Canis lupus familiaris: one gene and its partners. The protein of the gene in region 1 binds, or shares a complex with, the protein of each later gene. Links are inferred from orthologs where the notes say so. Each region holds a gene or a part of one and is shown on either strand. Other genes may lie near its edges.

Region 1 (4,300 bases):
AAATGACAACCAACAGCAGCCCCACATTCAGCACATCCTCATCACGATGTCTAAGAGGAAAGCAAGAACGCTAAGCTACTCCTCAGGCCGAGACTTTCTTGTTTGGGGAAAATAGGTGGGCTGTTGAGATGTGACCAGCGCAGTGTGTCCTGAGCCCCTTATAGGTGCTGGGAAAATCCACGGCTGGCGATAGAAATCTTAGGAAGTAGATGGCCATGGCCTACAGGCCACACTGAACACAGGAACAGAAAAACAACCCAACCACTCCCACTCTAGGGCTGACCCCCACGGTTATCTACAAAGGGTTAACTCATTCCTGCTGGAAGGGGAGTTAAGATCAGACAATGTTACAGATGTTTCTTTTAAGAGCTTTCCCCTTGCACTTGCCTCAGCTGCTCCAGGAGCTGCTTTATGTATGGTCATGGGAGGAGGAGGAGGAGGAACTGGCAGCCTCTTCCCCGCCCCCACGGTTTCCGTGCAGAAGGGTCAGGTTCTGCGATGCTTCCAGCAGCTCTCGGGAATAAAACCATCCCAAGGCCGCTTGGGCACCCAGGCAGGATTCTTTCCGCCTCCCCCGCACCTCACCTCTGGAGAAGAGGTCCTGGCCCTCGAAGTGGATAGAAGGGCACTGGTCAGCCTCAAGAGGTAAGCGTAGCAAGCTGTGCTAACGACTGGGTTTGGCCTTCTCTTCGCCCTTGGCTCCGTGGCCCTGCCCTCAGCCCACTGCTCGGAGGGCCGCAGCCTAGTGGCGCCAATTCGCACTCGGTAAACGGCGGGTTTGCTGGCGCGGGTTTCTCCGCCTCAACCCTGCTGAGCCTCGCCTTTTGCATGGACAGCCCTTGGTCATCGCGGCCTTTCCAGGGACCGCAGCAGGTGATACCTGAATGCGGAGGATCCCTGCTTTGTGGGGCGTGGGCGCTGGACAGGGCTGAGGGAGCGGCGTGCTTAGATCCTCTTCACCGTCGACCCCGGACCAGTCGGGGGATGCTACGTAAAGAGGCCGCTGGTCAAGAGTCGGGAGCCCGGCGCCCACAGGCACTGCCACTCCTGTTCCACGCAGCGCGGGCCCCCGCGCCGGAAGCGGGAAGCCTAGGGCCGGCAGGAGCGAACCAGGCCCGCTCTCGCGATGGCCCCCATCTCCGCGCAGCCCGGCCCCAAGGCCGCGCGGTGGCGCCAGAGCTCAATGCCGGGCCGCGATCGCCCGCCGGCCTCCCGGCCCCTGCCCCGCCCCCGGGGGTCACGTGATGGGGGCGGCGCAGTCCGATGACGCACACCCGGCGTAGCTCTCGCCCCGCCCGCCGCGGGGTCACGTGACAGTCCGGCGCTGCCTGATAACGCGACGCCCAGCCCCTGGGCGCCGCTCCCGCCCCGCCCCGCCGCCACCGCCGCGCCGAGTCCTTTTGTCCAAGATGGCGGCGCCGGGGGCGCTGCCTCCTCGGCCGCCGCCGCCGCCGCTGTGAGGGGCCTGCGGGCCGCCCGCCCGCCCGCCGCGCCGGCGCCATGAAGAGGCAGAGCGAGCGAGACTCGAGCCCGAGCGGGCGCGGCTCGTCATCGTCGGCCAAGCGGCCGCGGGAGCGCGAACGGGAGGCGGAGGCGGGCGGGCGGCGGGCGGCGCACAAGGCCTCGGGCGGCGCCAAGCATCCCGTTCCAACGCGGGCCCGCGACAAACCCCGCGGTAGCGGGGGCGGCGGGGGTGGGCATCGCGACGGCCGCGGCGCCGGGGACGCGAATCACCGTGCGAGCAGCGGCCGCTCCTCGGGCTCGGGCGCTGGCGGCGGGGGACGCGGTGGCAAGGCCTCCGGGGACCCAGGCGCTTCAGGTGCATCACCTCGCGCGTCTCCGCTGCCGCCACCTCCGCCACCGCCCGGGGCCGAGCCCGCGGGGCCCGGCTCATCGGCGGCCGCACCCGAGTACAAGACGCTGCTCATCAGCAGCCTGAGCCCCGCGCTGCCCGCCGAGCACCTCGAGGACCGACTCTTCCACCAGTTCAAGCGCTTTGGCGAGATCAGCCTGCGCCTGTCGCACACGCCAGAGCTGGGCCGCGTGGCCTACGTGAACTTCCGGCACCCGCAGGACGCACGCGAGGCCCGCCAGCACGCCCTGGCCCGCCAGCTGCTGCTCTACGACCGGCCGCTCAAGGTGGAGCCGGTGTACCTGCGTGGCGGCGGCGGCGGCGGCGGCGGCGGCGGCGGCGGCGGCGGCGGGAGCAGCCGGCGAAGCAGCAGCAGCAGTGCTGCCGCCTCCACGCCGCCCCCAGGGCCGCCCGCGCCCGCCGACCCGCTCGGTTACCTGCCGCTGCACGGCGGCTACCAGTACAAGCAGCGCTCTCTGTCCCCAGTGGCCGCCCCTCCGCTACGGGAGCCCCGCGCCCGCCACGCCGCGGCGGCCTTTGCCCTGGATGCTGCCGCCGCCGCCGCAGTAGGACTGTCCCGGGAGCGGGCCCTGGACTACTACGGTCTGTACGACGACCGCGGGCGCCCATACGGCTACCCCGCCGTGTGCGAGGAGGACCTGATGCCTGAGGACGACCAGCGGGCCACGCGCAACCTCTTCATCGGGAACCTGGACCACAGCGTGTCCGAGGTGGAGTTGCGGCGGGCCTTTGAGAAGTACGGCATCATTGAGGAGGTGGTCATCAAGAGACCTGCCCGTGGCCAGGGTGGTGCGTATGCCTTCCTCAAGTTCCAGAATCTAGACATGGCCCACAGGGCCAAGGTGGCCATGTCGGGCCGGGTGATTGGCCGAAACCCCATTAAGATAGGCTATGGCAAGGCCAACCCCACCACTCGCCTCTGGGTGGGCGGCCTGGGACCTAACACCTCACTGGCCGCTCTGGCCCGGGAGTTTGACCGCTTCGGGAGCATTCGGACCATTGATCACGTCAAGGGAGATAGTTTTGCTTACATCCAGTATGAGAGCTTGGATGCAGCTCAGGCCGCCTGCGCAAAAATGAGGGGCTTTCCCTTGGGTGGTCCAGACCGAAGGCTGCGTGTGGATTTTGCCAAAGCAGAGGAGACCCGGTATCCCCAGCAGTACCAGCCCTCACCCCTCCCTGTGCATTATGAGCTGCTCCCAGATGGATATACCCGGCATCGAAGCCTGGATGCAGACCTCCGGGTGCGGGATAGGACCCCCCCACACCTCCTGTACTCAGACCGGGACCGGACCTTTTTGGAAGGGGACTGGACCAGCCCTAGTAAAAGCTCTGACCGCCGAAACAGCCTGGAGGGCTACAGCCGCTCAGTGCGCAGCCGGAGTGGGGAGCGCTGGGGAGATGGGGACCGGGGCCTGCCCAAGCCCTGGGAGGAGAGGCGGAAGCGGAGGAGCCTCTCCAGTGACCGCGGGAGGACAACCCACTCCCCTTACGAGGAGAGGAGCAGGACCAAGGGTGGTGGGCCACAGGTGGACCGGGGCTCTGACCGCACTCCTGAGCGCAGCCGTAAGGAGAATCACTCCAGTGATGGGACCAAGGAGTCGAGCAGCAACTCCCTCAGCAACAGCAGACACGGGGCTGAGGAGCGGAGCCACCACCACCACCACGAGGCTCCAGACTCTTCCCATGGGAAGAAGACCCGAGAGAGCGAGCGCAATCATCGGACCGCTGAGGCTGAACCCAAGCCTCTGGAAGAGCCAAAACACGAGACCAAAAAGCTCAAGAATCTTTCCGAGTATGCCCAGACACTGCAGCTGGGTTGGAATGGGCTCCTAGTGTTGAAAAACAGCTGCTTCCCAACATCTATGCACATCCTAGAGGGGGACCAAGGGGTTATCACGGGCCTCCTCAAAGACCACACTTCCGGGAGCAAGCTGACCCAGCTGAAGATTGCCCAGCGTCTGCGGCTGGACCAGCCCAAGCTCGATGAGGTCACGCGGCGCATCAAGCAGGGGAGCCCCAATGGCTATGCGGTGCTCCTAGCCACCCAGGCGACCCCCAGCGGGCCTGGCACTGAGGGGATGCCCACGGTGGAGCCAGGCCTACAGAGGCGGCTTCTCAGGAACCTGGTCTCCTACTTGAAACAGAAGCAGGCCGCAGGGGTGATCAGCCTGCCGGTGGGTGGGTCCAAGGGCAGAGACAGCACAGGCATGCTCTACGCCTTCCCGCCCTGCGACTTTTCACAGCAGTACCTCCAGTCAGCACTGAGGACATTGGGCAAGCTAGAGGAGGAACACATGGTGATAGTTATAGTAAGAGACACTGCCTAGCCCAGACCTGGCTCCAGCTCCGCGTTTGTGTCACAAAAGCAGTTCTTTTAAAATCCGACCACCACCCTTCCCCACATCCTACCCCTTGGTTTGAATT
Region 2 (3,064 bases), on another chromosome or scaffold:
GTTTTTGTTTTTCAGAGAAAAATTGTTCTGTATGTAGCTGCAGATTTGGTGTGTCTGTGGGAGGAGGTTGAGTTCAGGATCTGCCTTTTATTACCATCTTGAAGTGGAAACCACGTATCTTTTAAAATGCGTTGAGGCTCAGCTGCTGGCTCTTCTGAGACTCGAAAGCATCACTGACCATACACATAACATAAACCCTAATCTTTACCCAAGTGAACAGTAACACATAATGTGGGATATTCTGCTAATGGCACAAAACTTCAAGTTAATGAAGTCAAGTCACAGAATCCTATTGTGGCCACAGGGCAGGATGAGGAAGAGAGCCTGCAGTTACAGAACAGGATCAAGAGAAGCGACACATTAGATTTTTCAGCAGATCAAGTTCCAAGTTATGTAACTATACCCTAATTTTTGTAAAATAAAAAAGTTATCTATTGTCGGTTAATACAAACCAAATGGTGAGGACAGCTGCCAAACAAATCCAACAAGTGACTCAGTGGTCCATGTAAACACGCATTTATTTGGGATTGCAGACATATTCTTGCCAACCCTTTTATTACCAGCAGCTGGAGTCCAGTTGTGCAGTTACGGGAAATGGACAAACTTGATCTGTCAGTTATGAGGCAACACACCTTCAACTGTACTAGCAAATAACTTCTAGACCAGCAGATGTTTTCAGGAATATTGATTTCATTGAGACTTTAATTATGGCCTGAGAGCTTTTATGGAAAACTCACTAAGATTTGCTTTAATGAATTTTAAGGGTCTATGATTAGCAATACATAGAATGTTTGGATTAAAAAAAATAGGAAACCTGACAACACTATGTTCCTACTGGGAACATTAAGCTCTGAATATCTGAATATTGTGACTCAGTGTTCAGAGGATTAGCTCCCCATAGCTCTTCTTTCACGATGACGTAACAAAAAAGAAACTCAAACCTGAAAAGGCAACAAATTTGACTATATGGCAAATTTAAGTACATCGTTTTCAATCGTTTTCATTCTGTAAATACACATCTTGTGAAAGATTCCTAAGGTCAGCTGACAACACAGGAAAAACCATTATTTTTGTTCCACAATTCTGGGAAATAGGATTAGAAGTTCTAAGACTTTAAATGCTTGTGCTGCAGTGAATATTATCTAGCGTGATTAGGAAGTAGTTTTTAAAAGGATATTTATTCTTCAGGGTCGTTAAAGACTTTTTTTTTAATTATTTAAAATATCTACCAATTGGAAAAAGAAACAGACACCAGGAAAATCTGGTTACACTCCCCACCCCTGCTTGCCATTGTCTCATATCATACATGCTTTCAAAGTCATTTGAAAATGTGACCATTTCCTGTGCTGGGTCAGTTATCGGATATAAATTACATATACAGTGAATGTTTCTTGAGCAGAAATTTTACAGCAGTAACACTGTTACCTTTAGAGGATATAAAACTACTGACACAGGTAACACAGGATTACAGTTTTAACAAAACCTGAGAGAGCCAATGGGGGAAAAAATTAATTTTGATTGGTTTCCTTTATTATTACCTCTGTCTGTCCACAAATTCTGCAGCCTGGAGTCCATTTTAAATCCTTCTAAAAGTCCACTTATGAGTTACATATATACTCACAGAATAAAACAAATACCGTAATTTTTTAAAAAAAAATTTCATTTTACATTTTATAAGCTAGACAGTTCAATGTAATCAAAGGTTATAGCTCTGAAAAATATGACGGTTATGGATTTTAAAGCTCAGATGACAAAGGTTTGTTAACTCCCGGTTTGTTTCAAGTATTACTGAGCTGTATTTAAAATATATCCTCAACTCCTATTGCATTATCGAGCAGTATAATATTTGAAGTATGAAACATAATGTTGATGACAAATGTTTCAGAACATCAGGAATAAGATCAATGAAGAGCAAAGTGAATCTAGAACAAGGAAAGGAAAGGTACATTTATTAAAAATAAAAACAGTAGACAGTCTCTGGTAACAAACAAAACCATATGGAATCCAAATACGTCCAATATACATTGTAACAATACACATATATTTTTAAAAAAACAAAGATCCATTAGTAATTTTTTTTTTTAGAACTTTAGAAAAGCAGAAAAGGACTTTGGCTCCCTCCTACTGGAGGTCTGCCCACGAACACAGACAGCATGCAGGACCAGCATCCACTTTCAAGAGTTCCGTACAGCACAAAGCTGTAGTGTGTGTATTCATTCTGCGAACACATGGTTTCTGAATAAAATCAGTTTCTGCTGGGATGATCCAAAACCTATCAGTGGCTCCATTTCATAAAAAATATTCGTAGGTTGCAAGAGCAGTGGCAACTGTTTTCCAAAGTCTTCAGTTTTAACAAAAGATAAACTGCTGAATCTAGATGTTTTCACATTATTTCACATGAATATCAAGTACTGTGTAAAAATTTATGTAAAATCGTAAGTTAGCCAAAACTAGTGTCTTTAAACTTCATATCAAAGTTGTTCTTCACCCTTTTACCACGGCTGATAAATCTTTTCTGTCTTTGTCATGAATGATGTTTGCCATCAAAACCAAAGAACTCTGAAAAAAAGAGTATGTAACTCTGAAGGAACACAGAACCAAAAATGTCACTGGACTCCGGTCCTAAGACACACACAGTTCCTGTTGGACACTGGGCTGTGGGAGCTTATTATCATCAGCCTTCTCGTGCCCTGGGGCGTGACAAGTAGTTTTCTTCTTAAATAACCGAAGACTCAATCGCAGCAACTCGTTGTCCACCACTGGGGCATTCGTATAAGCTTGTTTTACGGTGCCCTGATTTGAAGAAAACAAAAACAAAACGTAAAAGACGTATGTTACTGGTTGACAGTAGGACAGACAGGCAAGGTAACTTCTCTTTAACTTCTATTTAAAAACAAATTTAAGAAATGTTTTTCAGACTCAACGAACCTTAGAAACGAGAGCAATCTTTAAAAGGTGTCCCCTGCTTAAAGCAGGTCTCTTTGGCAGTCCCTGCCGTCAGCCAACTAGTGTTCTCTCCAATGACAGAACAAACCATCACCGCACGCTCCTGAGCTCGCTGAAG
Region 3 (4,023 bases), on another chromosome or scaffold:
TTTGCTGGCCTGTTTGGTACTGTGGGAATAGGGATAAAACACACGATATAAACTAGCCTATCACTGTTCGTTCTTTCTGGAGGGAGGGAGTGGGGGGAGGGAGGGAGGGAGGGGAGGGGGAGGGAGGGAGGGAGGGCGGGAGGGAGGTGCGGGCGAGGGAGGAGGAGGGAGGGCGTGAGGGAGGGACGGGGAGGAGGAGGGGGGAGTGGTGTAGGAGGTGAGGGAGTCGGAGGGGGGGGAATATGTGCGGCCGGCCTCCATTACTTCCTTACTTCCTCTTCTTCCTTCCTTCCTTCCTTCCTTCCTTTCTTTTTAAAGACTTTATTTATTTATTCATGAGAGACACACGGAGAGAGGCAGAGGCACAGGCAGACGGAGAAGGAGGCTCCATGCGGGGACCTGATGCGGAACTTGATCCCAGGACCCTGGGATCATGACCTGAGCCAAAAGGAGATGCTAAATCACTGAGCCACCCGGGCGGCCCCTGTTCTTCCTTCTAATCAATTTGGTTATTCCCAAGAATCTATTTCTTTGAGTCACAGAGAGAAAGAGCATGAGCTGGGGTTGGGCAGAGGAAGAAGTTGACTCCTTGCTAAGCAGGGAGCCTGATGTGTGGCTCAGGTCCTGGGATCCTGAGCCACACAGGCACCCTCCAAAGAATCTGTATCTTTGAGCATTAGGATTCTTAGGAAAACATGAGACACACTCTGCTGGTTTATTAATCAAGATTTCATGTAAGATATAACCAAAGGTGGGGATCCCTGGGTGGCTCAGCGGTTTGGTGCCTGCCTTTGGCCCAGGACATGATCTTGGAGTCCCAGGATCAAGTCCTGCATCGGGCTCCCTGCATGGAGCCTGCTTCTCCCTCCTCCTGTGTCTCTGCCTCTCTCTCTATGTCTATCATAAATAAGTAAATAAATAAGTCTTTAAAAAAATAAATAAAATAGAATGTATTCAGATCATTAATGACTACAAATACCATGGACAAAAAAAATCATTGGGAGACCTTCCTTAGTTTGGCTTTTTTTTTGTTTTGTTTTTTGGAGATTTATTTATTCATGAAAGACACACTTTTCCCTTCCCTGTCTGCAGTTCGTGGATTCATCCAGTCATTTTACATATTATCATAGCGTCATTCTGAATTTTTATAAGCATCAATCCTTGATCCCCAACTAAATTCTGATTCCGAGAGCAGGAAGGATGTGTCTAACTTTGTCTATCTACACATATGCCCACAGTGCAAATACTCAAGACATGTTTGTCTATTATGATGTCAGAGTCCTGACAAGACACCTATTTTCAGCGGCCATAACGCAAGCACACGCACCGAGAGGGAGCAAGGCCCGATGTAGTGGGGGGACTGCATCCTACTGCAGCCTGGGACACATTGCCACAGGGTGGCAGGGATTCGCTCTCCTTGCTCAGCCTCCTGGCTGATTTGCCTTAAATGATCCAGAGCTTGTGCTGGGGAGAGAGGCGGCTGCAACTGCACAATCTTTTGAGGCTCCTTCAAGTTTTAGGATGACAAGTGGCAAGAGGAGGGCAGGAAAAGTTTAAAAACAGGAGAAACACTGTGGCGCTGGGGTGGCTCAGCGGTAGAGCACCTGCCTTGGGCTCAGGGCCTGACCCGGGGTCCTGGGATGGAGTCCCGCGTTGGGCTGCCTGCGTGGAGCCTGCTTCTCCCTCTGCCTGTGTCTCTGCCTGTGTATGTGTCTCTCAGGAATAAATAAATAGAATCTTTTAAAAATCATAATAATAATAAATAAAAACATAAAACATAGGGCAGCCCTGGTGGCCCAATGGTTGGGCATCTGCCTTCAGCCCAGGTCGTGACCCAGGGTCCTGGGATGGAGTCCCGCGTCCGGCTCCGTGCGGCTCCCTGCGTGAAGCCTGCTTCTCCCTCTGCCTGTGTGTGTCTCTCAGGAATAAATAAATAAAATCTTTTAAAAAATCACAATAATAATAAATAAAAACATAAAACATAGGGCAGCCCTGGTGGCCCAGCGGTTGGGCATCTGCCTTCAGCCCAGGTCGTGACCCCGGGTCGCGGGATCGAGTCCCCCGTCGGGCTCCCCACAGGGAGCCTGCTTCTCCCTCTGCCCGCATCTCCGCCTCTCTCTCTGTGTCTCTCGTAGATAAACGAATAAAATCTTTAAAAACAAAACCCATAAACATCCATTTTCAGGTTTCTGCTCGAGATGCAAACGGCCGGGGCAGCGCGGGGACCCCAGGCCCCGGCAGGTCTGCGGCCCGAGCCGTCCTCACCTCACGGCGCCCACAGGGGCCAGGCGGCGGCCGCCGCAAGCCGTCGCCCTCCCGGGGGAGAACGAGGCGCCACAGCAGAAGACAACGGGGGCCTTCCTGCTCCGGGGGGCGGGCGCGAGAGGCGCGGCACAGGCGACGCACGGCGGCCTGGGGGCCCGGGGGCCGAGTACCGCCCCCGCGCAGCGACCCCGCGCAGCGACCCCGCGGGCGTGAAGGCCGCGGGGAGCGCCGCGGCCGAGGGCTCTCTCGCTCCGGGCCCCTGCCCCCGCCCTCGCCCCCGCCCCCGCCCCGCGCCGGCCCACGCCCCGCGCCTCACCCAGGTGCCCCGAGTCCTGCTTCCGCCTCCGCTGCAGCCTCTCTCGCAGCGAGTCCAGCTGCTTCTTGTGGGCCTGGATCGAGCTCCACGTGTCCGACATCCTCGTCTTTCGGCCGAAGGCGCCTCGAATCCGGCGCGCGGGCTAGCGCCTCCCGGGGCGGCCGCGGGAATCGTGGCGGCCGCGCGCCGACGCCCCCGGGCTCGCCGGAAACGGCCGGGGCCACGCGCTCGCCCGGCACTCACCTTCCGTTTCCCGCCCGCTGGGGAGGAGAATGCAGAGACACCTGAGGTATTGGCAGCAGGGCGGAAATACTTTCTAGGGGCGCTCTCTGCGTCTTCCGGGCGCCGCGAAGCTGTGGTTGCCATGTCCGTGCCTGGCAGCGCCGCCATGTTGCTTATACAGGCGCGCGGCCATGTTGCATCTGAGGGGCTGAGGCATTCAGGCAGCTCCGGTAGAGCAGCCCGGGCAGCACACATCTGCATTATTTTTTCTCAGATTTTATTTTATTTTTTTAAGATTTTACTTATTTATTCATGAGAGACACACAGAGAGAGGCAGAGACACAGGCAGAGGAAGAAGCAGGCTCCATGCAGGGAGCCCGACGCGGGACTCGACCCCGGGTCTCTGGGGTCATGCCCTGGGCCCAAGGCAGACACGCCACCGCTGAGCCCCCCGGGCTGCCCAAAGATTTTATTTTATTTTTATTTTTTTATTTTTTCCAAAGATTTTATTTTAAGCAATCTCTACACCCAGAGTGGGGCTCAAACCTCCAACTCCGAGGTCAAGAGTCACATGCTCCACTCACTGAGCCAGCGGGTGCCCTGGTTGTTTTTAATGGAGCCTTGTGAATGCAAGCTTTGGGAGCCCCTGATTTGTCAAATGTCTACAGTTGGCCCTTGAATGACATGCGTTATTAAAAAAAAAAAAAAAAAAAAAAAAAAAAAGGATCCCTAGGTGGCGCAGCGGTTTGGTGCCTGCCTTTGGCCTAGGGCGCGATCCTGGAGACCTGGGATCGAATCCCACATCGGGCTCCCGGTGCATGGAGCCTGCTTCTCCCTCTGCCTGTGTCTCTGCCTCTCTCTCTCTCTCCCTCTGTGACTATCATAAATAAATAAAAATTAAAAAAAAAAAAAAAAAAAGGCAGCCCCCGTGGCTCAGCGGTTTAGCACCTGCCTTCAGCCCAGGACGTGACCCCGGGGTCCCGGGATCGAGTCCCGCGTCGGGCTCCCTGCAGGGAGCCTGCTTCTCCCTCTGCCTGTGTCTCTGCCTCTCTCTTTGTGTGGGTCTCTCATTAATAAACTTAAAAAAAAAAAAAAAAAGAATGACGTGTTTGAACTGCAGGGGCCCACTTATATGTGGAATTTTTTTCTCAATAAATACAATTTTTTTTGAAGATTTATTTATTTATTCATTTAGAGAGAGCGAGAGGCAGAGACACAGG
Region 4 (3,938 bases), on another chromosome or scaffold:
TCCAGCTATGTCACTTTAGGAAAGTCACGTAACCTCTCACACTCAGTCTCATCTATAAATTGGGGATAAAAATCTTTCAGAATTCTTGAAAGGATTAAAGATAGTGTATTTCAATATACTGCACTACACCTTGCACAAAATAAGCATTCAATAAATGCTGGCAATGATAACTGCCTACCCACTAACCTGGAACTTCCATTACATCTCACTTTTTCTTCTTGATTTGCCACCTGTAATTTTTCTGAACCATTTTAGGCATTACTGATCAATTAATTGACTTAATGTATTTTACTAGTCATTTAATTTGCTTGCTCAGAAACTATTTCCTACAAAATAAAGTCCATTTCCTTTGCTGAGCATTCAGGGAACTCCATGATGTGGCTTCAAACTGCCCATCAGCTGCCACTTCACTCTAGGACTTTTGGAATACTCCACAGAGGACTGGCTACTCCAGGACAATGCCCTGCTTTCTTATACACAATTGTGGGACATTTCCTCTTCCACCAAAGATCCAACTTCACATGACAACTACTTTGATGATGTCTTTCCTGATATTCTCAAATGAAGAGTCATCTCTCCCTCCACTGAAATTACATAGCCTTTGTTGGTAGCACCTAAAGGAGCTAAATAAATATTGACTGGGGTCCTAATGTCAGACACACACAGATTATAAACCCTGAGGCACCTGGCTGGCTTAGCAGGTGGAACGTGCAACTCTTGAACTCGGAGTCAGGAGTTCGAGCCCCACAGTGGGTGTGGAGCTTACTTTTTTAAAAAAAGAGAGGAGGGCAGCCCTGGTGACGCAGCGTATTAGCACCACCTGCAGCCGGGTGTGATCCTGGAGACCCAGGATGGAAGACGTCAGGCTTCTTGTATGGAGCTTGCTTCTCCCTCTGCCTGTGTCTCTGCCTCTCTCTGTGAATAACAAAATCTTTAAAAAATAAAAATAATAAATAAAAAATAAAAAAAAAAAAAGAGACAGCAGCCTGGGTGGCTCCGTGGTTTAGCGCCACCGGGCCCGGGGCCTGATCCTGGAGACCTGGGATGAGTCCCACACTGGGCTCCCTGCGTGGAGCCTGCTTCTCCCTCTGCCTGTGTCGCTGCCTCTCTCTGTGACTCTCGTGAATAAATACATAAAATCTTAAAAAAAAGAGAGAGAGAGAGGTGATAAACTCCAAGGGCTTCCCACTGCTTCTATATGCACTGACCACATTCTAACCCGGACCCTAATTTTGTGGCCCCAACCTCCAACACTTAGTTATAACTCCGTGGGAACAAACAGCTCGACATTCCACACCCCCCACAAGCCCTCGGCCTTCCCTCAGGACTCGGTTCAACCGTGAGCTCTACCGAGCCTCCCTCAATCACTGCCAGAACCGGCCGTCTCCTGGTCCTCGCTGTTTGTCTAAGAACCAGCGGAGCCACGCTCGACCCGTACACGCAGGAGTGAACCAACACTGATTTCCCGAAACTAGAAAGCCGCTGACTTCTCATATGCTTCTTTCACTTTTAATGGTTCTGCCTGTACACATGACGGGTTTGTTCTGATCCAACTGCTAACTCCAGGGGGTTTCGGGAGCCCCGCTGGCGTGCGGCCGCAGAGGACGGCCGTGGACCAAGACCAGGGGACAAAATGAAGAGACCAGGGCGCGCCCGGTGAGGGGGCTCCGCAGGGAGCGCCTGCCTCGGGCCCAGGGCGTGACCCCGGGGTCCTGGGATCGAGTCCTGCGTCGGGCTCCCTGCGTGGAGCCTGCTTCTCCCTCTGCCTGGGTGTCTCTCTCTCCCTCTCTCTCCCTCAGGAATAAATACATAAAATCATAAAACAAAGCGACCAACAATTTCACCGTTTGCAAGACGTGCGGGGGTCTCGATTTTTACACAGGAAACGGTCGGAAGAACCAAAGTCAGTCAACTTTTTATTTTGCCACACACAGCGTTACGGCCGCAGCCGCACTGTCTCCGACCAGGGCCGAAGGGTCGCTCGGGGCCCACGTCGGAGGAGCCGCGTGCGCCCCGGGTCCCCGTGGTCCCGCCGCGGGCTCCGTGAGCGCTCCCGCCGGCCCTCGGGGGCCGCTGACAGGCCGCTCCATGCCGCGCAGAGGTCGCGGGGTCGGCCCCTCCGGGACGACCGCCGCGCGACACCGCCGCCGCCGCGCCTCAGCCGCGGCCACGCTCCGCTCCGCTCCGGCCCCTCCAGGGCGAGCGCTCCCCACGCCACGGGCGTCCGTCCGAGCGAGCGGACTCTTCTTGAGCCCAGTGCTGAGGTGAGGTGAGGCGGGCGGGCGGGCGGGCGGCGCAGCCCCGAGCGCACCGCTGAGGGGGGCGCCCCCCGCTCCGCCCCCGGCGCTGTCAAGCCCCAAGCCGTCCGAGCCCCCGCCGGGCTGCCGCGGCCCACGGCGCTCCCACAAAGGGGCCAGGCGGGCTGAGCGGCCACCGCGCCCCGACCCCGCGCAACGGGGGGGCTCCCGCCGCCCGGCCTCAGACGTGGTGCCCACACCCAGGCGGGCGGGGGGCGGGGAGGGCGCCGCGTCTGTGGGGAGCCCAAGCGGCAGCCGGCGGGGCGAGGAGTCGCGGCGCGCCCCACGGCCCCCTGAGGGTCCCCGCGGCGAGAAGCGGCGTCGGAGTCAAGTCCGGGAGCCTTACCTCAGCGCTTGGGTGTTTAAAAGTGTCTAAAAATAGCAGCTCCATCGCCGAGTCCACCGCCATGTTCGCGGCGGGCGGGGGCCCAGGGGGAGGACTTCCGGGGCAGCGCTCCAGCCGCGGCGACGGCGGCTCGCGAGACGCGGAGCCCGCAGCACTTCCGGTGCCCAGCGCGCCGGCGCCGCGAGCCTCGGCCTGCCCGGAAGTGCGTCGCCGCGGCGAGCCCCGCCCCCGCCTTCTGCCGCGCGGCCGGGGGCGCCCGGGAGCTCGGGGAGGGGAGGGGCGGGGCGGGGCGGGGGGCGGGGGGAGGGCTACGGGCTACGGCGTCGCCGGCGGCCCACGGCCTCCACAGCCTGGCCTTTTAGCGCGTTGCCGGCCCGCGACGGCCTGGGGGGCGGGCCGAGTGCCCCGCGGGCTGCGGGGAGGGGGGAGGAGGGAGGGGAGGACGGAGAAGAGACGGGAGGAGGGGGGGAGGGAGGAGGGGTGAAGGTGAGGGGCAGGGGAGGAGGGGGAAGAGAGGGGAGGACAGGAGGGATGGGGAGAAGAGGGGAGGATGGAGAAGAGAAGGGAGGGAGGAGGGGGAGAAGGGGAGGGAGGGGGAAGATATGGGGGAAAGAGGGGTGGAGGAGGAGGGGGGAAGAGGGGAGGACAGGAGGGATGGGGAGAAGAGAGGAGGATGGAGGAGGGAGAGGGGAGGAGGGGCGAAGATGAGGGACGAGCGGAGGGGGGAAATGGGGAAAGAGGGGAGGAGGGGGAGGGGGAAGAGAGGGTGGACAGGAGGAAGAGGGGAGAAGGGAGAAGAGACGGGAGAAGGGGGAGGAGGGGGGAGAGGGGAGGGAGGATGGGGAGAAGAAGGGAGGGAGAGGGGAGGAGAGGGAAGACAGGGGGGAAGAGGAGGGAGGGGGAAGGAGGGGAGGGATGGGGAGAAGAGGGGAGGATGGAGAAGAGAAGAGAGGAGGGGAAGAGAGGGGAGGGAGGAGGGGGAATAGGGGAGGGAGGGAGAGGGGAGGAGGGGGGAAGATAAGGGGAAAGAGGAGGGAGGGGGAGAACAGGGGGAGGGAGGAAGAGAGAGGAGGATGGAGAGAAGGGGAGGGATGGGGAGAAGAGGGGAGGATGGAGAGGAGAGGGGGGAGGGGGGAAGAGGGAGGAAGAGGGGAAGCCGCCCACGCCGGACACACGGGCGGGTGGGGCGGGGAGGTTCACTGAGCGAGGCTGAAGACTAAGGTTTTTTTTTAAGAAAGAGAAAACCTGTTATCTCAAAGAGGAGAGTTTTTTTTTTTTTCTTTTTCTCATCTGCA

Evidence for each region. The genes of interacting proteins can lie anywhere in the genome.
Region 2: RBM15B (region 1) and ZC3H13 share a complex: the UniProt entries of both Homo sapiens proteins name them as parts of the WMM complex. The link is inferred for Canis lupus familiaris from reciprocal best matches to the Homo sapiens genes RBM15B and ZC3H13.
Region 3: RBM15B (region 1) and METTL3 share a complex: the UniProt entries of both Homo sapiens proteins name them as parts of the WMM complex. The link is inferred for Canis lupus familiaris from reciprocal best matches to the Homo sapiens genes RBM15B and METTL3.
Region 4: RBM15B (region 1) and VIRMA share a complex: the UniProt entries of both Homo sapiens proteins name them as parts of the WMM complex. The link is inferred for Canis lupus familiaris from reciprocal best matches to the Homo sapiens genes RBM15B and VIRMA.

What each region holds. Positions count from the first base shown.
Region 1 is NC_049241.1:38,597,518-38,601,817, reverse strand, and holds the start of RBM15B (putative RNA-binding protein 15B), read left to right. Parts: upstream 1-1,500; coding exon 1,501-4,203; 3' UTR 4,204-4,300. UniProt on the Homo sapiens protein: RNA-binding protein that acts as a key regulator of N6-methyladenosine (m6A) methylation of RNAs, thereby regulating different processes, such as alternative splicing of mRNAs and X chromosome inactivation mediated by Xist RNA.
Region 2 is NC_049243.1:5,183,032-5,186,095, reverse strand, and holds the end of ZC3H13 (zinc finger CCCH domain-containing protein 13), read right to left. Parts: intron 2,794-3,064; coding exon 2,623-2,793; 3' UTR 501-2,622; downstream 1-500. UniProt on the Homo sapiens protein: Associated component of the WMM complex, a complex that mediates N6-methyladenosine (m6A) methylation of RNAs, a modification that plays a role in the efficiency of mRNA splicing and RNA processing.
Region 3 is NC_049236.1:18,669,375-18,673,397, forward strand, and holds the start of METTL3 (N6-adenosine-methyltransferase catalytic subunit), read right to left. Parts: upstream 2,801-4,023; 5' UTR 2,682-2,800; coding exon 2,582-2,681; intron 1-2,581. UniProt on the Homo sapiens protein: The METTL3-METTL14 heterodimer forms a N6-methyltransferase complex that methylates adenosine residues at the N(6) position of some RNAs and regulates various processes such as the circadian clock, differentiation of embryonic and hematopoietic stem cells, cortical neurogenesis, response to DNA damage, differentiation of T-cells and primary miRNA processing.
Region 4 is NC_049250.1:39,921,639-39,925,576, forward strand, and holds the start of VIRMA (protein virilizer homolog), read right to left. Parts: upstream 2,801-3,938; 5' UTR 2,707-2,800; coding exon 2,644-2,706; intron 1-2,643. UniProt on the Homo sapiens protein: Associated component of the WMM complex, a complex that mediates N6-methyladenosine (m6A) methylation of RNAs, a modification that plays a role in the efficiency of mRNA splicing and RNA processing.